3 linked regions of the Tamandua tetradactyla genome follow. The protein of the gene in region 3 binds, or shares a complex with, the protein of the main gene of each other region. Links are inferred from orthologs where the notes say so. Each region holds a gene or a part of one and is shown on either strand. Other genes may lie near its edges.

What was found. Proteins that work in one complex are often made in the same cells at the same time.
Region 1: the proteins of TIMM10B (region 3) and TIMM10 are in contact, whole or in part, in a cryo-EM structure (PDB 7CGP), measured with the Homo sapiens proteins. The link is inferred for Tamandua tetradactyla from reciprocal best matches to the Homo sapiens genes TIMM10B and TIMM10. Residues at the interface, in NP_036324.1 of Homo sapiens: Gln7, Leu11, Leu14, Arg15, Phe17, Leu18, Leu19, Tyr21, Asn22, Arg23, Met24, Thr25, Glu26, Cys28, Phe29, Val33, Pro34, Ser35, Leu36, His37, His38, Arg39, Leu41, Glu46, Leu49, His50, Ala53, Gly54, Ile57, His61; in NP_036588.1 of Homo sapiens: Ala6, Leu9, Leu13, Glu16, Met17, Asp20, Met21, Arg24, Ala28, Lys32, Cys50, Asp52, Arg53, Cys54, Ser56, Lys57, Tyr58, Asp60, Ile61, His62, Glu63, Arg64, Met65, Gly66, Lys68, Leu69, Leu72, Asp76.
Region 2: TIMM10B (region 3) and TIMM29 share a complex: the UniProt entries of both Homo sapiens proteins name them as parts of the TIM22 complex. The link is inferred for Tamandua tetradactyla from reciprocal best matches to the Homo sapiens genes TIMM10B and TIMM29.

Annotation. Positions count from the first base shown.
Region 1 is NC_135335.1:20,056,872-20,064,554, forward strand, and holds TIMM10 (mitochondrial import inner membrane translocase subunit Tim10), read left to right. Parts: upstream 1-4,792; 5' UTR 4,793-4,904; exon of another isoform or gene 4,905-4,969; intron 4,970-5,396; 5' UTR 5,397-5,442; coding exon 5,443-5,513; intron 5,514-6,753; coding exon 6,754-6,955; 3' UTR 6,956-7,162; downstream 7,163-7,683.
Region 2 is NC_135337.1:90,946,862-90,954,539, forward strand, and holds the start of TIMM29 (mitochondrial import inner membrane translocase subunit Tim29), read right to left. Parts: upstream 3,022-7,678; 5' UTR 2,910-3,021; coding exon of another isoform or gene 2,879-2,909; 5' UTR 2,568-2,878; coding exon 2,363-2,567; exon of another isoform or gene 2,292-2,362; intron 2,289-2,291; coding exon 1,600-2,288; 3' UTR 1-1,599. Other genes in the region: protein YIPF2, read left to right, coding at 2,879-2,909, 3,272-3,429, 3,521-3,601, 4,506-4,593, 4,954-5,070, 5,150-5,316, 5,399-5,581, 5,663-5,779; histone-arginine methyltransferase CARM1, read right to left, coding at 7,274-7,416, 7,573-7,641. UniProt on the Homo sapiens protein: Component of the TIM22 complex, a complex that mediates the import and insertion of multi-pass transmembrane proteins into the mitochondrial inner membrane.
Region 3 is NC_135334.1:79,905,999-79,911,811, reverse strand, and holds TIMM10B (mitochondrial import inner membrane translocase subunit Tim10 B), read right to left. Parts: upstream 1,485-5,813; 5' UTR 1,362-1,484; coding exon 1,332-1,361; intron 1,146-1,331; coding exon 1,050-1,145; intron 874-1,049; coding exon 697-873; 3' UTR 523-696; downstream 1-522. Other genes in the region: ARFIP2 (arfaptin-2), read left to right, coding at 2,482-2,580, 2,837-2,933, 3,800-3,918, 4,098-4,319, 4,863-5,020, 5,169-5,343, 5,776-5,813. UniProt on the Homo sapiens protein: Component of the TIM22 complex, a complex that mediates the import and insertion of multi-pass transmembrane proteins into the mitochondrial inner membrane.

The sequences.
Region 1 (7,683 bases), on a different chromosome or scaffold from region 3:
ATATTCATACATTTTGTGTTGTCATACAATTCCCTGAGTCCCCGCTCATATTTTTCCATTCTTTTCCCTATATTTTCTTTTGCTTGTTGGATTTCAGATGTCCCATCCTCCAGTTCACTAATCTTATCTTCTGCCTCTTGAAATCTAACATTGTTGGTTTCCATTTTTTTTTTATCTCTTTTACTGCGCCTTTCATTCCCATAAGATCTGTGATTTGTTTTGTCAGACTTTCGATTTCTCCTTTTTGTTCATCCCTCACCTTCTTTAGATCCTCCCTCAATTTGTTGATTTGATTTTTGATGAGATTTTCCATGTCTCTTTGAACATCCTGAATTAATTGTTTCAGCTCCTATATCTCATTTAAATTGTTGATTTGTTCCTTTGACTGGGCCACATCTTCAATTTTCCTAGTATGATTCATTATTTTTTTGCTGGCACTAGGCATTTAATTTCCTTAATTAATTTATTCTAGAGATTGTTTTCACTCTTTTACCTAGCATTTTCTTGCTGGATGGCTTTGTTTTCTATCTGTTCTTTGACATTCAGTTTAGCTTATTCTAGACCTCTAGCATAGGTTTTGTTTAATGAATCAGAATTTCTCAGTTTTCTTGTTCCTTGCCCTGCCCATATGGTGCCTTTTTTTTTTTTCCTTAGGAGGGTCTACTCAGGTATTATAGACTCCAGTCAGATTTCCCAGACTGGCCTCCTCTCCAGAGGAAAGAGTCACCTGCATCAGTTTTCCCTGTGGGTAAGACCCAGCAGGTTGCAAGGTTTTCCTATGAAGCCTCTGGACTCTGCATTTTTCCTATCCTGCCTAGTATGTGGTGCTTGTCTACCTGTGGGTCTCACCAGCATAAAGTGATGTGGTGCCTTTAACTTCAGCAGACTCTCTCTGCTGGGATAAGACAGACGAGAGGTTGTAGGATGGCTTTAATTACTTCAGTTTTCTAGTCCCTGCAGTCTGAATTCCTTGAGGGAGGGATTCCACATGAGCTGGACCCTACTCCTCTCCTGGGGAAGGCACAGGCTCCAGGGAATTACCTCCTTTTTCCTGACCAGCCTCTTTGTCTCTCAGACAAGCTCAATTCTGTCCTTGCCGAGGGCAGTTGGAGCCTAGAAGACTTACAGTTGTAAAAAAAAAAAAAAAAATCCTTTTCAGAGCAGGACCCCTGTTCCTCAGGTTTGTTAATCAAGAGCTTAAGTTTGTACATTGCTCTATGTATCTCCAGGTCCTACGTGTCCCCTCTTTTTTTTTTTTTTTAGGGTCCAGACCTTTTCAAGTATTTTGTGATGTCTGATCCAAAAACCTCTTTTTTTTTTTTCATCAGCTCTCCATCAGTGCCAGGGGAAAAACTAGTAACCTTAGCTTTTATTTGAAGTTTAGCTGAGCTGGGGGCCTATTTTTTTGTTCCGCTTTTTGCATGGGCAGGCACTGGGAAATGAACTCAGGTCTCTGGCATGGCAGGTGAGACTTCTGTCACTGAGCCACCATCACACTGCCCCTGGGGGCCTATTTTTAGTAGTCAGAATTTGTTAATTAATTCCACAGTGGGAGCTTGCTTGAGCTCAGACCCTGCTGTTAGTAAAGTCTCTTTCCTTTGCCCTCTGGAAAGTAGCCTGTGGGTTAGGGGCGCTGGCCTATGCAGCTTGGGGACCTTACGGTTCTGGGCGGGATCGCAGCTGGTCCAGCTTGTCCAGACTGGTGTATGCTGTGTGTTCGGCCACTGATGCAGCCCCAGCAGTTGTTCTGTCCTGTTCCTGGCTATTTACTAGCTGCTCTGGAGGACGGACTAAATTCCACACCTCACTAAGCTACGATCTTGGACTCCATCCAGGCCATTCCATTCTTATCCCCTCTCTGCCTGCTCATCTCGGGGGGAGGACACCAAGGCTGACATTGTATTCTGTACATCTCTTGTGAGTGGTTCAGATGGACACCATGGGTGATAAGCCTACATCCTTTACTCTGGGAATACAGTTCCCCATCCAAGAGGAAAATACTGACTCCTGGTGAGTGACAAATAGACAACTCCCCTCTGTGAGGGTGGGAAGGGGTAGAACCTAGGGCTGAGCCAGAACTTCCCCATGGTGCTGACAGAGGTCAGCAGTTTTAGATGATATAGCTGGGATCCAAAGAGATCTTTTCAGGCTAGGGCTATAAGCTATATTTTTATTTTTTAAATTTCTATTGATAAAACTTAACATACAAACATTCTTAACAAACACATATTTATTACATGGTGTACAGTCAGTAGCTCACAGTATCATCACATAGTTGTGTATTCATCACCACGATAATTTTTTGAACATTTGTATCACTCCAGAGAAAGAAATAAAAAAGAAAAAAGGAAAAACTCATACACTCCACACCCCTTACCACTCCTTCTCAGTGACCACTAGTATTTCCATCTACCCAATTCATTTTAACCTTTGTCCCCCCATTATTTGCTTACTTTTTATCCATATTTTTTACTCATCTGTCCATACCCTAGACACAATGAGCATCAGACACAAGGTTTTTCACAATCACACAGTCACACTGTAAAAGCCATATCATTATAAAATCAACTTCAAGAATCAGGGCTACTGGAACACAGCTCTCCAGTTTCAGGTACTTCCCCCCAGCCACTCCAATACAACATAAACTGAAAAGGGATATCTATATAATGCATAAGAATAACCTCCAGAATACAAGCTGTCTTTTACAAGAAGAAATTTCACAGGGACAAGTGGAGAGTCCTACTTGCAGGTCCCCAAATCATCAACTGTATAAGTATAGGAAAGGAAAGATATGATTTCATAGTAAATAGTGATAATAGCAATAAAACCATTGCCATCAGTAACAACAATGCTTTCCTTTTATGGAGCATCTACAATGGACTACGTCTTTATATTCTCTTTTTTTTTTGTAATTTTTTAGCTTTTTATTTTGTGATAATTATAAGTTCATAGGTAGTAGCAAGGCTAATACAGAGAGATCCTGTACACCCTTCAACCAGCTTCCCCCAATGGTTAAACCTTACATAACTCTAGCACCATGACAAAGCCAGGGAACTAAGGAAGTCAGGTACAAAGAGGAAATAATGTGTGATGCCATTTATATGAAATCCGAGAACACTGAAAGTAATTGATGGTGATAGACTAGTGGTTAACCGTGAGAAAGGATATATAGATTGGGAAGGAGCAGGAAAGAACATTTTTGGGGTGCTGGAAGTATTTTATATCTTACTCTTTTATTTATTTTTTTTACATGGGCAGGCACTGGGGAACTGAACCCGGGTCTCCCGCATGGCAAGTGAGAATTCTGCCGCTGAGCCACCATCGCGCCACCCAGTATTTTATATCTTGATCCAGGTGGTGGTTATATGGATGCATACATATTTTAAAATTAAGCAAGCTTAAGATTAGTCTATTTTACACACTTTACTGTACGAATGTTATACCTCAATAAGAAAGAAAACGAATCAGGGCACAGAGTTTGACAAGGTTGAATCTTTAGAGCTGTAATGAGACAGACTTTTTAAAATCAGGACTGTCGTGGGTAGCTGGGGAAGTTTATGTTGACCATACATATAAAATGTCCAGCACATATGGAAGGAAGTACCCGAAACTGCCGAGTTGTGTTCCAGTAGCCTTGATTTTTGAAGATGATTATATAATGATACAGCTTTTACAATGGGACTGTGTGGTTGTGGAAACCTTGTGTCTGATGCTCCTTTTGTCCAGAGTATGGACGGTTGAGTAAAAAATATATGGATAAAAAATAAATAAACATTAGGGGGACAAAAGTTAAAATAAATCGGGTGGATGGAAATACTAGCTGTCAACGAGAGGCAGGGGTAAGGGGTAAGGTCTGTATGAGTTTTTGTTTGTTTCCTGGGGTGACACAAATGTTCTGAAAACGATTGTGGTGATGAATCCACAACTATGTGATCTATGTGATGATATTGTGACCCGTTAGTCATACACCATGTATGGACTGTATGTGAAGACTTCTCAATAAAAAATATTTTTACAAAAATGTCCAGCACCTCGTAGGCTAAAGACAAAGAGCTGAGTTTACGTTTGTTCACACAGTCCACATTCTCCCATGGGCCGTGTAACCTTGTGACATTAAGTTACATTTTGTGGATTTAACTCTCTGGGAAATTATGTGAAAAATCAAGGGCCAAGGTGTGTTTGGAGGTGTGTGTGCGTGTGTGTGTAGATCTAGGATTACGGTAAGTCTGGAAAGATGAAGAGTTCACCAGTCTCCTCTCCCTCATCCCAATGCACCAATGAACTCTGGTAGCAGCCGAAACTGCTCCTACTCATCTCTCCACGGCCCAGAGGGATCTAAATAAAACGTGCACTTTACCTGCCTTCGGCGAGAAGGAGCCATGCCTCGCGTATCTCTGCCTGGATCTTGCTCCCAGAGATTGTTTTAATGGGTGTGAGGCACGACCTGGGCACAGGGAGTTTTAAAAGCGCCCCAGGTGATTTTAATGTGCAGCAAAATCCTAAACGCGCCCTCCAAGGCCGTGTTTCCTTCTCCACGCCTGACTTGCAGTCAAGAGCCTGCTCTCCCCGGTAGGGGCAAGGATGGCCGAGCTCCGTCGTCCTCGTCCCTCCCTAGAGAACCAAATAAACTCAAATCTCTTCCCGACAGCCCACCTGAATTCCAACCCGGCTGCGGGCGCTCTGCACCCGGCCCAGCTCTCTATGGTCTTTTGGTGTCCCCTCTAGCACTTTCAAGGCGCCTTCGCCTTCGGCGGGGGCCCGCCGCTCCCTCTCTATGGTAGCGGACCTCCAGGCTCCGCCTCGTTGGTACTCAATTCCGGAAGCTAGTCCGGATCAAAGAGGAGGTGGGACTCCCCTCCCGGAAGCGATCCACGTGCTTCCGTTTTGCCTGACCCGGCAACCTGGTGAGTTTCCAGCGTTCACCCGAAGTTGGGGACACGGGGGGCATATTGACCGATCCCAGGCCCAGGTGAGTGACCTGTGACTCCTGACCCCGAGGTGGGCCTGATCACGGTGCAGCCATTTCTGAGTGGCCGCCCTTGTGTGGGGGCCCGAGCGCTTCGGTCCCACTTGGGATCAAGTAACCAGGGCCCCTGAGGTTCGGTTCCTCGGCTTAGGGTGATGTTCCACCCCGGGCTCTCGGTCTTCTCCTGGATAGAGGTGACCCCGAGGGATTGGGCGTCAGGGCGCTAGGGCTCGTTTTACGGCCCCGCCGTTCGTGTGCTGTGTGACCTTGGATTAGGCAGTATTCCCCTTCGGGCCTCAGTTTCCACACCTGTGAATGAGGTGATTGGGCTCACTGAGCTCAGTGGGCTCCTCCAGGGGTGACGGATTTGTAGCTCCTGAGTTAGGAGAACGAACGGAGGGTGGGTGCTGAAGGTGACGTCTGCCCCCAGGACAGGGAGGCCAGAAGGAGATCCCCTCCACGGTGCCCGGATTGAGATGGATCCACTCAGGGCCCAGCAGCTGGCGGCGGAGCTGGAGGTGGAGATGATGGCTGATATGTACAACAGGTAACAGCAGCCGGCCCGGCACCACCCTAAGTCTTGGGGGATGAGCCTTGGTCAGTCTTTCCCAGGGCAGGGGCGGAGGACTTCTAAAAAATGCTTTCCTCGATCGAGGGAAATCAAGGGAAGCCAGAGGCCGGTGCTTACCCATCCCGACTCCTCCCATGTTGAACTACTAATGGAGACTCACTATGGCGTCACCAGAACAAATCAGACTTTTAGGTTGGGATGAAATTGAAGAGGAAGGAGTCGAGCCGTGAGAGAAGCTCCATTCCAGGTTCTGAGCGGGTTCCAAGAACAGTTGAGTGTTTGCCTCTTGATGCATAGCAGATGGCCATTTAGTGGTTAGCCTTTCTTAAACTCTTACTCCATGTCAGACATTTGCTGAGCATTTTACACCCATTATCTTTTTTAATATTCAAAATAATCCAGTGGGTTAATTTTATAAGATAAAGAATTTGAGGCATCTAGAGGTTAATTAACTTCCACAGGCTGGTCACTAGTAGGACTAATACCTCAGTCTGACTCCAGAGTTAGGGCTCATAACCACTTTGTAAATATGGAAACAAACCCTGATTCCACTAATCTAATAGTATAGCCTTGGATAATTTCTTGGGCTCTTTGATGATCGTGTCTTCAGCGATAAGATGTAGATAATAATAGTATCTACCTCGTAGAGACATGGTAAATATTAAATGTAAAAATGTTTGATAACCTTTTAGCATCAAGCCCAGCACAGAGGAAGAAGTCAATAAATTGTTTGCTGTTTTTATCAGCTGTAGCTCTCTGCTATCCATTCCCCCGAATGCTTGGTTCATCTTGGAGGCTATATGTCAGAATGGTTTTAAAATGTGGGCTGTGAAGTCAGACTGCCCAGCTTTATGTCATCCTCAGCAAATTACTGAGCCTCTTTGTGCCTTAATTTCCTCATCTGTGAAATGGGAAAAGATAATGCCTATCTCATAGGCTTGTTGTAAGACCTGCATAAGAGGATCCATTTAAAGAATTAATCCTGATGCCTGGCACATAGCCAGTACTTAATTAATGGTTTCTATTTCATTAGTCATCTATAAGGACTCAGACAGAATTCTTACTCACAAGGGCCTTCCAAGCTGGTTGGGGTGCAGATACAATTTACACTGCCTTCTTGGAAGCAGTGAAATCTTTATAGCTAGCAGGAACAGTCGAGGGTCCCTGGGATGCCACAGAATGCTACTGACCTGAACTTGTCTGTCTTTCCCTGCAGAATGACCAGTGCCTGCCACCGGAAGTGTGTGCCTCCCCATTACAAGGAAGCAGAACTGTCCAAGGGCGAATCTGTATGCCTGGACCGGTGTGTCTCCAAGTACCTGGACATCCATGAGCGGATGGGCAAAAAGTTGACAGAGTTATCTATGCAGGATGAAGAGCTGATGAAGAGGGTGCAGCAGAGCTCTGGGCCCGTGTGAGGCTCCAGACATACACACCCTGGGCTGCATCCTGCCCCTTCCCACTTCCTAATAAAAGTGCCCCCCATTGGGTGCCATCTGTGAAGACTGTGCCAGGCCTTGGCTCTCTCTGGATGGTCTCCAGGAGCCTGGAGTGTGGTAAAGCTCTTTCCTGGTTGAAGAAGGGGTATCTGTCACACTGGAATTAAAATTGTGTGTATGTGTGTATATATATCTATATATATTAAAATAAGTTTGACACTTACTATGTGCAAAGCAGTGTGCTTGGCACTCTGGAGGAAAGAAAGCAGACATAGCATCTGCCGGCAGAGGGAGTTTAACAAAGTATTAAGAGTACAGACTAGTATGACAGCTTAGGTTTGTACCCTGAGCATGTCACTCCTCTGGACTTGAGCTTCCTCCTGAAATGGGGATAATGTTGTCTACCTCATTCGGCTTTTTGAGGGTTAAATGAGTTAATATGTGTAAAGCATTTGGAATAATGACGGGCATAGGAAGTGTTCAATAAGTGTTAGCTATATTAAAAAAACAACCTGAAATTCCGTGGGAACAGGCAGGTAGGCATTTTCACAAATGATATAAAGGAATGATTTAGAGGCAAAGATAAAAAGTAGGTGAGATTTAAGAAATCAGCCTCTTGGTTCTAAAGGGCAATATCAGGAAGTATGTGACGTGATTGAGCCTGCCTAGGCCCAAAGCCAGGGAAGGGTTTGAGTGATAACCACTTT
Region 2 (7,678 bases), on a different chromosome or scaffold from region 3:
ACATCTTTGTTTTCATAGCATTTTTGTTATTTGTGTCTGAATTCATGTTTTCTTTCTGACAAGCGATAGGAGCATGTAATAACTCCCAGCAGCACACTGTTGAGATGAAGACAGTATTACATGACTAAAGCTTGAGAATTAAGTTACAGGACTGGGAGCTACAGAGGTTGGCTCATGGCTCTCCCACAGCAATGGAAAAGGAAAGTTTCTGAAACTCAGCTATTTCCTCTCTAGAATAGGGTTGTTGACTTACAAGATGCATCCCTTGCCCATAAAAGAAGGATATAAAAATTACATGTCCAGAATACCTATGCTATGCACTAAGGGTCAAAGAGCCAAAACTTAAAAGCAGCAAAACACACCAACACGGACATCACTGCAGAGACGGCTGTTTCACCTCCTAGTTTTATGAACTAGCCACAGGCCACCTGGGTCATAGTGGTAGAATCTCACTCCCCTAACATTTTAGTTTTAAACGTATGACAGATTAGGGCGGTGTAATGGTGACTCAGTGGCAGACTTCTTGCCTGCCATGCCAAAGACCTGGGTTTGATTCCTGGAGCCTGCCCATGTCCAAAAAAAAAGTATGATAGAGTCACTACCAGCTGTGTATGCTAACTTACTCCTTGCCCATTACAGGATTCTGTATTGTCAAGGCTACCATGAGTAAGGCAATCAGAATCTAAGACTCCATATAGATTTCAGAAAATGCTTTGTCCCTCAAAGCCACTTTAAAGTTGTTGTCAATACACATATGGTAAAAAGATTGTTTTTGCAAAAAAGTTTCTCTGAAAAACCCAAATGGCCAAATAAATGTCAATGACCTGGCTTTGTTACTGCATTAGTTCTGGAAGATGTTACCACCTGAGGTATGTGGGCTTGTCTCCACTATTGTTCCAATTTCCTGTGAGAGAATTATTTCAAAACAAGTAAAAAGTTAAAACAGGAATTGTTATAAAAATTAAAAGGAGAACAGATCATAGGAGAAAAATGTTTCAGCTCAATTTTTTTTATTGTATGCTGTATGGCTGGGTTACATTTCATTACTTTTCAATGTGAGTACCTCATCACTGCAGCACCATTTATTGAATTTTTGTTTGGTAGGTTTTTTTGTTTGTTTGTTTGGGAAGTACACAGAGCGGGAATCAAACCCAGGTCTCCTGCATGGCAGGCAAAGAGAATTCTACCACTGAATTACTCTTGCACCACCCCCAGCTCAATTTTAAAAAGAGGAGCCTGAATGGTCATAGGTGACTTTGGGAATCACCTAACAACTAATGTGGTACCTCAGCAGGGGTGGAGCTGTGAGGGCAAATAAAAAAGGTTTATCATTACTAGCTCTGGCAGTGGAAAACATTACATGTTCACATCCTCTGCTTTCCTTAACTCCTAGACTAAGAAAGCTGTGTTAGCTTCAACTAACAAGGAACAAGGTGTGAGGAAGAGTCTCCCCGATTTGTAAAAACCCAGTGAGAGAACACTGCACATAATTTATTTCAGTCACTCTGCATTTGAGGCCCCCTCACACCAACTGCACAATCCCAGGCAAACAGTCTGCCAGGGCTGCGGACCCAGTCTGGAGCCAGGCCTCACTGAGCCTCATCTTGGGACCTCCGGCTGCAGCAGCGAGTCGGTCTGGCTGAGGACGAGCCTGTCTTTCTTCTTCTTCTGCAAAACCTGCTCCTCCCACAGCGCCTGGTCCACCTGGTCCTCCGTGAGCACGACAGGTTTGTACTTCTCGTCAAAGAGCCTCTCGTTGGTCTCGGAGCGCAGCTGGCGGGGCTCGACCACGCGCAAATGCGCCGGCAGATGCAGGAACTCCTCATCGTTGATGTCGCAGTCATGCATCCGGGCCTCCAGCACCCACCAGCGGCCCATGAAGCCCACATCCAGGATTCGGCTAGGAAAGTCGACCCAGCGGGGCTGGAGGTAACGGCAGCGGGCCTGGTAGAGGCTGGTCTGGGCGTCGAAGGGCGCCTCGTACACGAGCGAGCCCAGCACCAGGTTCAGGTGACGCAGGCGACCGTGGCCCCGCAGCCACAACAGCCGCTGCACGTACGCTTCGGACTCGCGGTTGCGCGTGGCCGGCGCCAGCAGCAGGAGGGTCCCGGACGCGTCGAGCAGCGCCTCCTCGAAGGCCGCCTCGCTCGGCGCCAGTGAGCAGCAGGCCGCCGCCCCGCCCAGCAGCCCCAAGTACACGGCCGCCCGCCCTGGCCGAGCCCGCGCCGCCGCCGCCGCGTCCCGGCAAGCCTCGGCGTAGTCCTGGAGCAGCGTGCGGGCCCAGATGCCTGAGGGGAGAGGAACGCGGTAAGAACGGCCCGGCCGCTGCGGCCTCCCCTCGGTGTCTCCCGCCGCCACTCACCCAGTCGCGTCCACACGCTCGGCTTCCCGGCCGCCCCGTCGCCCACCTTTTGGCCGCCTCGGGACCAAAGCCTCTTCAAAGCGGCCGCCGCCATTCTCTTCCTGCTCGGCGTCCGTTCTCCGAAGAGAAACGTCCGTAAGCGAAATAAAAGGCCCGGGCAGCTCTTCTGTGCAAGGCGCCTACAGCGCCGGAAGTGGCTTCCCATCGGAAGAGGAGTGAAGACGGACCGGCGCCGGATGTTGCTGAGAGAGCAGGGGCGGGGTTGGCGTCCTACCTGGCATGTAGGCGAGCCGCGCAGGCGCAGAGAGGCCGGACCGCGCGGGCCGAGGTACCCTCAGGTGAGGGGGGCGGGGTGTACCTGTCGGCCCGGGCGGCGAGTTCAATTCCCGGTGGGTGCCGTTAGCGGCCAGACTGGGCTGGGGACTGAGGGGTAGGGTCCGGGAGGGGACACAGGTGGGAGGCGAGCCTGATCGGTCTCTGTTCTCAGAGCGGGATGCGGTGACGTCCTGGACTGCCATGGCAGCGGCCGACGAGCTGGCCTTCCACGGTGAGTGCGGCCCCGACCCGGCCCGAGCTCCTCCTCCCGCCCGGGGCCAGAACTTCCCTTGTGGGTTTCGGACTCATACCCAACCCAAACCCCAGTCGGCTGTGAACCCTAATCCCAGCCCTGACCTAACTCGAACCCTGTCCGGCCCCGAACTCGGACCTCAAACTAGAGTCTCTCTCCCGGATCATTGGCCCCATCCCAGAAGCAAACCAGGCCCTACACTGCAGTCCCATGTCTGCAACTCAGGCCCTTCTTGCATTGGGGGAGGGCGCTGAGGAGGTGCCGATTGGAGCACAGTGCCAAGTTGAATTGCCCTGGACCCCAAAACATGCCTGTGTTCCATATTCTGGAACTCTCCACAGAGTTCGAGGAAGCCACTGATCTGCTGGCGGAGACCCCAGACGCAACCACTGTCAGCAGGAGCGATCAGCTCACCCCGCCGGGGCACGTGGCAGTGGCCGTAGGCTCAGGTGGCAGCTATGGAGCTGAGGAGGAAATGGAGGAGAGTGACAAGACCGCGGTGAGTCATCCAAGTCCTTCATGTCCTGCCCTCAAGCCGTGCCTGCTGACCCAGGCGGTAAGGGCAGGCGCTGAAAGGCCGTGTTGTGCAGCTTCTGCAGGAGGAGAAGCAACAGCCGGGATTCTGGACCTTTAGCTACTATCAGAGCTTCTTTGATGTGGACACCTCACAGGTTAGATGTGGAAAGCTGGAGGGAGGGGGTTTGGAGTCAGGCTTGGGGTTCAGTTGGTACTCATTGAGGACTTCCCATACACCAGGCCTGAGGCAGGGTGCTGACGACACTGACATGGATGAACAGGGACTGGTAGAGGGTGACTGGCATTCATGGTTGGGTGGGTCAAAGGAAGGCTCCCTGGAGGTGAGGAACTGGCTGAGACTTAAAGAAGAAAAATTTACTGGGGGAGAGTGGAGGGAATCCAGGCACAGGGAGCAGCTTATGCAGAGGGGCAGGGGTGAGTGAATGCATGGACAGTTGCAGAAGCTGCAAGCCACTGAATCTTCTTGGAGAGTATGAAGTAGGAGGCGGTGCTGCAAGATGAAGTGGGACAGGCAGGCAGAAGTCAGATCACAGAGGACCTTGTGAGCTAGGGTAAGGTGTCCAGGTTTTATCGTGAGAGTGAGGAGGCATTTGGAAGGGTTTAGAGGAAAAGTGGGATGAGTAGGCATGCCACAGAATATGGATTGGAGGCTAGGGAGGGGGTGATGACAAAGCAGGGCTGCAGAGGAGGGGACCTATTGGAGGGAGATGTGGGAAGGAAAACGCCTAGGACTCGCTGACTGACCTGACTGGGTAGGAGGGGAGGCAGTGAGAGCAGTTCAGAGCAGCCAAACCAAGAGGAGGGGAAGCAAACGGGAAGATGGCAGGCCCGGAAGAGGCGGGAGCTGGCCAGGGGAAGGGGCTCCAGACCACGAAACAGTCTTTGTAGAAGCCCAGAAGGCAGAGGTGACCTCTTTCAGGTTGGGTGTGGAGAGAGGAGATTGGGGGTTTGTAAGGGGGCAGGATGGCCCCTTCCTTCTGAGGGTGGTGGGGAGCCACTGGTAGGCTTCCCCATCTGGGCTGGCCTTGTTCCCCGCAGGTGCTGGACCGGATCCGAGGCTCGCTGCTGCCCCGGCCTGGCCACAACTTTGTACGGCACCATCTGCGGAATCGGCCGGACCTGTATGGTGAGTGAGGTTGTGCCTTCTTCAGTTCATGGAATTATTCACTCAACAAGTGAGGACTGAGCCCCAGGCCCTGGGGGTACAGCTGAGCACAAAGCAGTCGTTCACAGAGTATGAAACTTAGATCTCCTGTTTAGGGAGACGGAGACATAAAAGACTGCAGGGGTGATGGAAAGTAGCGGGTGCCAGGTGGCAGGAGGAGAAGCCAAGCAGCTGAGAGGGTACAGAGCATCGTTACTTTGCCTGGGTAGTCAGGGGGGAGGCCTCTTGGAGGAGGCAGTGGGGGGATCCAGAGAAGAGCATTCCAGGAAGAGTGAACAGCGCTGGGCCGGGGACCCTGATGGCACCCTGCCCTGCCCCTAGGTCCCTTCTGGATCTGCGCCACCCTGGCCTTCGTCCTGGCCATCACTGGCAACCTGACATTGGTGCTGGCCCAGAGGAGGGATCCCTCTATCCACTACAGCCCCCAGTTCCACAAGGGTAAGGCAGGCAGGCTGGCCCAGCAGGTGGGGGCCAGGGGAGGCCTGGGGCTAATTAGCTGTGGTGGCCCTCCCCACAGTGACCGTGGCTGGCACTGCCATCTACTGTTATGCTTGGCTGGTGCCACTGGCACTATGGGGCTTCCTACGGTGGCGCGCGGGCACCCGGGAGCGCATGGGGCCTTACAGCTTCCTGGAGACAGTGTGTGTCTACGGCTACTCTCTCTTCGTCTTCATCCCCACTGTGGTGAGTGGGGCCCGGGCAGGGGGTGTGGTGGACGCCTTGGGGGCCCCGACACAGTGGTCACCAGCAGCCTGTGCCACCTCAGGTCCTCTGGCTCATCCCGGTGCCGTGGCTGCAGTGGCTCCTGGGGGCGCTGGCCCTGGCCCTTTCGGCCACGGGCCTGGTGCTGACCCTGTGGCCCGTGGTCCGTGAGGACACCAGGCTGGCAGCTGTGGCACTGCTGGCCACCGTGGTGCTGCTCCATGCTCTCCTGGCCCTGGGCTGTAAGGTAGGGTGCAGGGGCGTGGCCGGGTCCCAGGCTGGGTGGGGCGTTCACGGCCCCAGTGCTGACCCCAGGGACGTCGTGCAGTTGTACTTCTTCCAGCCGTTGCCTTTGGAGCATGTGGTCCCTGCACCCCAAGCCACTTTTCTGCCCCCCACCACGCTGCTGCCGCCCTCCCTGTCACGGTCTACCGCAGTCTCCTAGGATACCCTGGACCTATGGGTAAGCTCCTTGCTCGGCTGGGGCTGGGGCTAGGGCACCTACTGTCCAGGCCACCCAGCCTAGGAGTTATGGGGCCTTTCTTGGTGTCTGTTCTCTTTCAGGGAAATTGTGTAAGAGACGCCTCTGGCCCCCACCCCCAGACGATGATGAAGCCTCCCTTGGCACCTCGAGACCACTCTGCTACTTGCCAGACTTTTCTTACAAAGCAAACACTTTTATTTTCTATGCAAAGGTGATTTGGAGAGTTTATATAAAGGTGGGGGGGGCATCCGAGCAGGGCGCGTCCGGTGTGGTGGCAGGCAGCAGCCAAGGGAGCAGTGCCCACGCCTACAGACTGCCCACTGCCCCCGCTGGCCCTGACGCCACTGCAGGCAGTTGGGGACCTACCTTAGGCACCCCAGGCTCCCTTTCCTCCAGGTGGTCAGCAGGCCTCGGGGCCTATCCTGAGCTCCACCACGTCTGAGTTTGGGATGTTAGAAAAAGGGGAGCAGAAGGAGAAGAAAACTGCCTGTGCTGAAACATTTCCTTGTTGGTTTATTTTGTGTTTTGTTTGGTTTTATGGAGGGAACAGTCCCTGTGAGGCCCCTCCCCAGTCTAGAAGGGGGCGTCCACAAGAACAACGGAAACACAGGCCTAGGGTTAGCTGCGGGCCCAGGTTGCCCTCCACCACACCCCTCCCGAGATACAAGCGGCTGAGGCCGGGGCCTGCAGGACACCTGTCCTAGCTCTTGTGGGGGTGGAGAGGGTGAGGTTGATCTACAGGGGCTCAGGGACAGGACAGCAGCAGGAGGCAGGGGCCAAGGACGGAGGGCCTTCCCGACAGCCGGGCTGGGTCGTACATTCAAGTGTGAGGTGAACCCTTTGGTGGGGAGGGGGCTGCAGGTGCCCCAGAGGCCTGGCCTCCACCCCAAAGCTTAGGCAGGGCCGCCTGCCCCTCACTGCTGAGCTCTGAGTTGGGGAGAGGGGCTGCTGGCTCGGCCCGGCCGGCGGGTTTCTCAAAAGGTCTGTGGATTGACACTGGTTCTTTCCGTAAAAAAATAAAATTAAAAAAAGCAGCATGCCACGCCCACTGTGACCAAGGCCTGGTAGTCGAAGGGAGGCCCTGCCCAGCCAGACAGGGAGGGGACCTGGGGGGCAGCGCCCCCTCCTCAGCCCACACTTCCGGGTACAGGGTACAGCTGTCAGGCCGACATGCCTGTTCCGGACGATGTCAAACCCAGGTCAGGGTGGAGCAGGCAGGAGGGGGCCGAGAGCTCCCGCGACATGATCTTGTGTAAAATATGGCAGCGACACGCGCTCAGGGGTGGGGCAGTGGGGGAGTGGGGTGGGGGCAGCGGCAACATTGTGTAAAAAAGTGTCCAAGTTCCCATAGCAAAGAGGGCTGTGCCTGGAGCCCAGGCTCCCCCCGACAGGGTGAAGCCACCTCGGAGAGGGGTGGGCGGGTCTTCATTTGGTTTCCTGGTGCCACGAGGCCGCCTAGCTCCCATAGTGCACGCTGCTGCTGGGGATGGACATGGGCGAGGCCATGGAGATGGCGGGGCCACCCATGGTGAACTGGCTGTTGACCGCGTAGTGCGTGCTCGAGCCGCCACTGCCGCTGCCCTGGGCACCTGAGGACCCTGTGGGGTGGGGGTCAACGCTCAGGGGCCAGCTCTGCCCCCTCGCCCGCCGGACCCGCAGCAGAGTCAGAGGAGAGAAAGCAGGCGAGAGGGCGGGTGGACGACACTCACGCTGTCACCCCCCCACCACGGGAGCCCGCGCCCCCTCCCTGTTACCTTGGACAATCCCCGTGCTCATTATGGAGCCCATCCGGGAGTGGGTGTGATTGACAATCCCTGTGTTGGCTGCGCAGCAAGAGGGAGGAAGGAAGGGAGATGGCGT
Region 3 (5,813 bases):
TTTGTTTAAAGGTTTTACTCCTCATCTTGGGAAGACAGAAAATAATAATAATAAAGTATGACCTCAGAAAATGGATGAAGTTCTATAGGATCATTTCTGCTCCTGGCCACTGACTTCCCAGGAGGTAGTGCTAAAAGTCCTTTTGTTTTTTGATCTGTTGCTCTTAGGTACTGCCACTGTTCCTGAGACCTGGCAGAATCCTTTCTTGTAAGACACAGTCCATGAAAAAATTAGTTATTAATACAGACTTAGCTCACGAGTGAGCCATTTAAGTCTCAAGGACAGCAAGACAGAGCTCCCATTTTCTCTGTCATCTGAGCAAGAACCAACTTTCTATTACTTTTACAAACTTGGAAATTATACCCACAAATCCTGCTTTAACCAGGGATCTGGGACTGTTGAGGTATTCTTCTGCATATAAAGGTAATTTTTCAGCTGCCAGGTCTGAAGTTAACAAATATGCACTAACTGGCAGAACAAAAGATGGTGCCAATAAAGCAAGCAAAGTTTCCCTGCCCAGAATGGAAATCAAACGGAGTCAAAAGCCAGTTTATTGGCTCCAGGGAAAGAAGAAACGATACCAAGCTCTCAGGCATTCCCCTCACCTACTCTGTAGAGCTTTCACCCAGCCCAAGGTCCACTGGCTTCCTCAATCTGAGGTTCCCTCCAGTCCCTCCCCTCCTGGGGAGGGGACAGCTAGCTGCCTGATGGGGAGACTCCCGGTTGTTCAGAAGCAACACCTGGCACAGCCGAGGTAGCCTCGTAGTCTGCGATGCGGCGCTGTACCAGGGCAGGCATGAGCTGCACATAAGCAGCCATGAGGCGGTGGTTGGAATGGATCAGCTTCCCAGCACAGCTGTGCAGACAGGCCTCCTGGAAAAAAGACAGATGGAAGTAGAGGCCAAAGGGTCCTACCAGGCCTCATCGCCTTCCTTCGTCATCCCCAGCCTACAGCCAAAGACCATGGAAAGGCTGGGGCCGGAGGTGGGGGAAGCAGGGAAGGGGAGATAGTCTACCGATAATTGAGGAATTCCTACTCAGTTCCCCACCTCCTCGGCGTCCAGAGCTCGGTGGTGCAGGCTGGGCACGCAGCGTAGGAAGCAGAGTTCTGTCATCCGATTATAGACCAACAGGAAATCTCGCAACTGGGAGAAAAGGGAGCCAGGAACACAGCGATAAGGGGCTCCACACGTCACTTCAGTCCCCGCCGCCCGAGGTTTCACAGGCATCACAGCCTGATACTCCCAGCCTTTGAATCCCTAGCTCTTTGGGTTATCCCTTCGGGGGTAGGGATGTGAGCTGAAGGGACAGCCCTGCACCGACCCACTCACGTTTCTCAGTTGCTGCTGTTGCTGCTCCATCACGCCACCTGCGCGTACCACATCACTTTCATTGCCGTTTCTCGATAACGCCCCGGAAGTGATCTTTCTCCGATTCCCAGAGGACTGAGGGGTTGGCTCAAAGAGCGCCCTGCCCCCGGAGGCTAACGTCACTACCGCCCTCATAATCTGCGACGTGGCCGGCTTCTTCTGCCCATGAGGGACGTCACTTCCGCCGAATCCCTGACCTGCTGCTAGGATCGCGACGGGAACTGGAGCCCGAGGTCCCCGCGCGGCCCGGGCCTGGCGCCCTGAGGGGAAGAGCGGCCCGGCCCGAGGTGAGAGGTTCATACTTGGGCGAGGGGGAGTTAAATGCACGAAGCTGCCCTATCGGCAAGATGCCCCTGAGCCCAGGGGAAGGATGGAGACACACCTGATGCCCAGGTGTATGGGGGTGGGGCGGGCTCACACACCTGGGGAGACATAACTGACTTTGGAAGGCATCATCTGTGTCCTGGAAAAGGGAGGTTTTTACTACAGATGGGGAACATACATCGACTGATTAATCCTGGTGAGGAGGTGCTGAGGAGGAGAAGGTGCATGGGATGGAGAAGGGAGAGACCACCTGAAGTAAGAGGGAAGAAAATTAAAAGACTGGTAATGGCCGAGCAATAGAGAATATACCCTAATGGGGGCGGACACCTGAGCCCTGGAGAAGGGTTCATCTCCTGGTCGGTGGAGAGACACATGAATGGAGATAAGCTCCATCGAAGGCACAGACTTCATCTCTCTTATTCACTGCTGCATTCCTAGAGCTTCATGTAGTACCTGCCACATGGTAGGCATTCATTAAATGCCTACTGAATGATTGAATGCATGATTGAGCAACCGAGTCCTGGTGCGTTTGAGGGGTTGTGAGAAGACACCTGAGGCCTGAATGTGCCTGTGTAAAAATGTGCACGCTGGAGAGGAGAAACATACACCTGAGGAGAGGAGTGGTGGCTGAGCCCCAGGCCACATTTAATCCCTGGGGATAACCTCTAAAACCTTAAAAATGGCCGGGGAGGCTTTCTTCTCCTAGAGTGCTGGCCTGTTTCCAGAACTGTGTCGGGTTTTGCAGGGCCCTGGGGTGGAGACTTTGACTCCAGTTGCTTCTCCAGCCATGACGGACGGGATCCTGGGGAAGGCAGCCACCATGGAGATCCCCATCCACGGGAATGGCGAAGCTGGGCAGCTTCCTGAGGATGATGGGCTGGAGCAGGTGCTTCAGTTTGATTCTTCTCCTATTTGTTTCAATTTAGCAATCCCAACTCAGATCCTGGGCTGTCACTCTCATTCCACTAGCTTTCCCTTAATGTAGCTAACTCCCCTTAATCTTTTCACATATCTTCATTCTGGTTCTGTGCAGACTTCCCTTGAGTGCTCTCTCTTTGATGTTTCAATCCAACCTTGTTCCTACCGTCAAAGTGCTTCAGCTGCCCTGTGTTCCTGAAGCCCCTCTCTTCTCTGGCCTTTAGGACCTCCAGCAGGTGATGGTGTCAGGACCCAACCTCAATGAAACCAGCATTGTGTCTGGTGGTTATGGGGGCTCTGGTGATGGACTCATCCCTACAGGTATGATCAGAAACAGGAAGGTTGAGTGAAGAGGGAGGATAGGAATTGTTCTGGGGAGTGTCAGATATGTCTAGAGAAGTTTGGTTTATACATGGAGGTCTGGGGGGAGGTTCCGTTAGTATGAACTCCATGGACCCTCTTCAGTCCAAGAGCAGCTCCCAGTGTTGTCCATATGCTCCCATTTGCCATTTAGCCCCTGAGATACACCCATTTATTCTTTCCTTACTATTACTACTTGAACCAGGTTAAGACTTCTAGTTCTCAGAAGTTCTACTGTTCTGTAGCTTGAGACTGATTTTGAATTTTCTGAAGTTTCTTAAAGGTCTATTTAAGACTCTAAAATTTAGAGAAACAAACAGTCCCAAGTTCCACACAGACTAGAATGCCACATGGGAAAGTCACCAGGTTTCCTATTATTAGGATCAACCAATCTTAACCTGCCCTTCTCCTCCTCCGCCCTCCCTCCAATATACTTGGTACATTTTCTTCTGTTTCTGGGAGAGACTGTACTGTAGCAACAGTGCCCCCCCCCCCCCCACACACACACACACCTCAGAAGGAGGTGTCCCTCACTTCTTTCTTCAGGAGGAATTTGGCTACACTGCAGAGACACAGAAGCTGCTGTACAAGTATGGGAAGAATATACATCTCCTGCCTCGGGCCCTCCCAGGCAGAACATGTATATGGGATTTGGGTCTCAGGGCATAAGGTATGAGTTCTCCCTAGTGAACAGGCAAATCTGTGTCTTTAGTCCCTGCTGCTTCAGGGAAGTCATTTTCATGTCCTGGGAGGGAAGTATGAGTGGGGCCACAGAGGTATCTGGTTGTATCTGAAAGAGGCTAATGTCAGAGAATTTGGTCCTTTAGGATCCGGACGCCATCCTTCTCACAGTGCCACTCCCTCTGGCACTGGAGATGAGGTGGCTCGGGGCATCGCTGGAGAGAAGTTTGACATCGTCAAGAAATGGGGCATCAACACATACAAGGTGGGATTTGAGCACCTCTCCATATACTCATAATTCCCTTGGGTAATGTTTTCCCTTCTCCCGAGACCCTAATATCCCATCTATGACTGAGATCTGGCATCTGGGGATGCAGGGGTGGGTACCTGAGTAGGTGGTGAGGGTTCTAGGGTCTCTGACTTATTCTTCCACTTCCCAATCAGTGTACAAAGCAGCTGTTATCAGAGCGATTTGGGCGAGGCTCCCGGACTGTGGACCTGGAACTAGAGCTGCAGATTGAGTTGCTGCGTGAGACGAAGCGCAAGTATGAGAGTGTCCTGCAGTTGGGCCGGGCATTGACAGCCCATCTCTACAGCCTGCTGCAGACCCAGCATGCACTGGGGGACGCCTTTGCTGACCTCAGCCAGAAGTCCCCAGAGCTTCAGGTGCCTCAGCCAGGCCAAAGAGGGTGGGGGACCTGGGCTCGGGCCCTCCCAGGCAGTCACCCCTCAGCCTCCCTCCCTCCCTCCTACAGCCCACAGGCAGAACCCCTCCAGGGTGGGCCCAGCCCTGCCCCCAGCAACACTCACCTGTGGAGGCAGCCTAAGGGTGTGTACAGAAGTCCAGAGTTGGAGGGGTTGGGGGTAGGGGGAGTACTAGGTGACTCACAAGTAACCCATCTCTGTATTGGCAAGAATGCCTGTGGTGCTCGGCCTAATCGGAGTCCTTTCCCTGCCTGCTGCACTAGCTTTCCCTGTTCCAGTCTTGTGAATTTATGAGAACCCCTACTTCCCATGTCCCTACCCCAGGCATCCCCAGGGTGGACCACTACCTTTGTGGCTGAGATAGCCTCGCTGGAGGCAGTCTTTTGGTGTTTCAGTGTAATTTAATGGCTATGTCCTCCTTGGGGAGGAGGGGAGTGAAGGGCCCTACAACTTTAGTCAGGCAGGGACAGTAACTCAAGTCCTGTCCTTCCCTTCTGCCTTTAGGAGGAATTTGGCTACAATGCGGAGACGCAGAAGCTGCTGTGCAAGAATGGGGAGACGCTGCTAGGGGCTGTGAACTTCTTTGTCTCTAGCATCAACACGTTGGTCACTAAGACCATGGAAGATACACTCATGACTGTCAAACAGTATGAGGCTGCCAGGTGTGAGCGCTGGCAGGGCCTAAGGTTTTGGGAATTGGCTGGCATGGGTGGAAGTTTGGGCATTAGGGTCATAAGAATCCAGGAAGAAAAAGAGAGTATATGTGGAGGACAAAAGGGTGGAGACTAGCCTATATCACCCCCTCCTCAGGCTGGAATATGACGCCTACCGAACAGACTTAGAGGAGCTGAGCCTAGGCCCCCGGGATGCAGGGACACGGGGCAGACTCGAGAGCGCCCAGGCCACTTTCCAGGCCCATCGGGACAAGTACGAGAAGCTGCGGGGAGATGTTGCCATCAAGCTCAAGTTCCTGGAAGAAAACAAGGTGCCAACCCCACCCCTTTGACCCCAGTGTACCTTCCCATCTATGGCACTTACGTTCTCCCTAGTTCCTCTCTCCATCATTGAATCAGGAAGCCCTGCTAAGTTTTAATAGCCCAGCTATTCCAGCCTGCTAAGAAATGGGATATTCTGCCCAGCCCCCTCACTGCCTGGGTCTTTTCAATTACCATCCTTCCAATTCCTGGCCCTTTCCTGTTGGCGGATTTGGAGTATAACAGAAAAATCACCCCTTGGGTGGGGATGCCAGAAACTCATGCCTAGCAAATCAAGTCAGGTTTTTCCTTTGATTCCCTTGGTGGAGTTCAGTCCCATCAGAGCAGAGTCCACATGTCCCTGGTCTGGGCCTAAACTGAGGCTCATAGACCCTCAAGGAGGGCACTGAGTCTAGCCTTAGCTGACCCCGCTGGACCTCCAGATCAAGGTGATGCACAAGCAGCTGCTGCTCTTCCACAA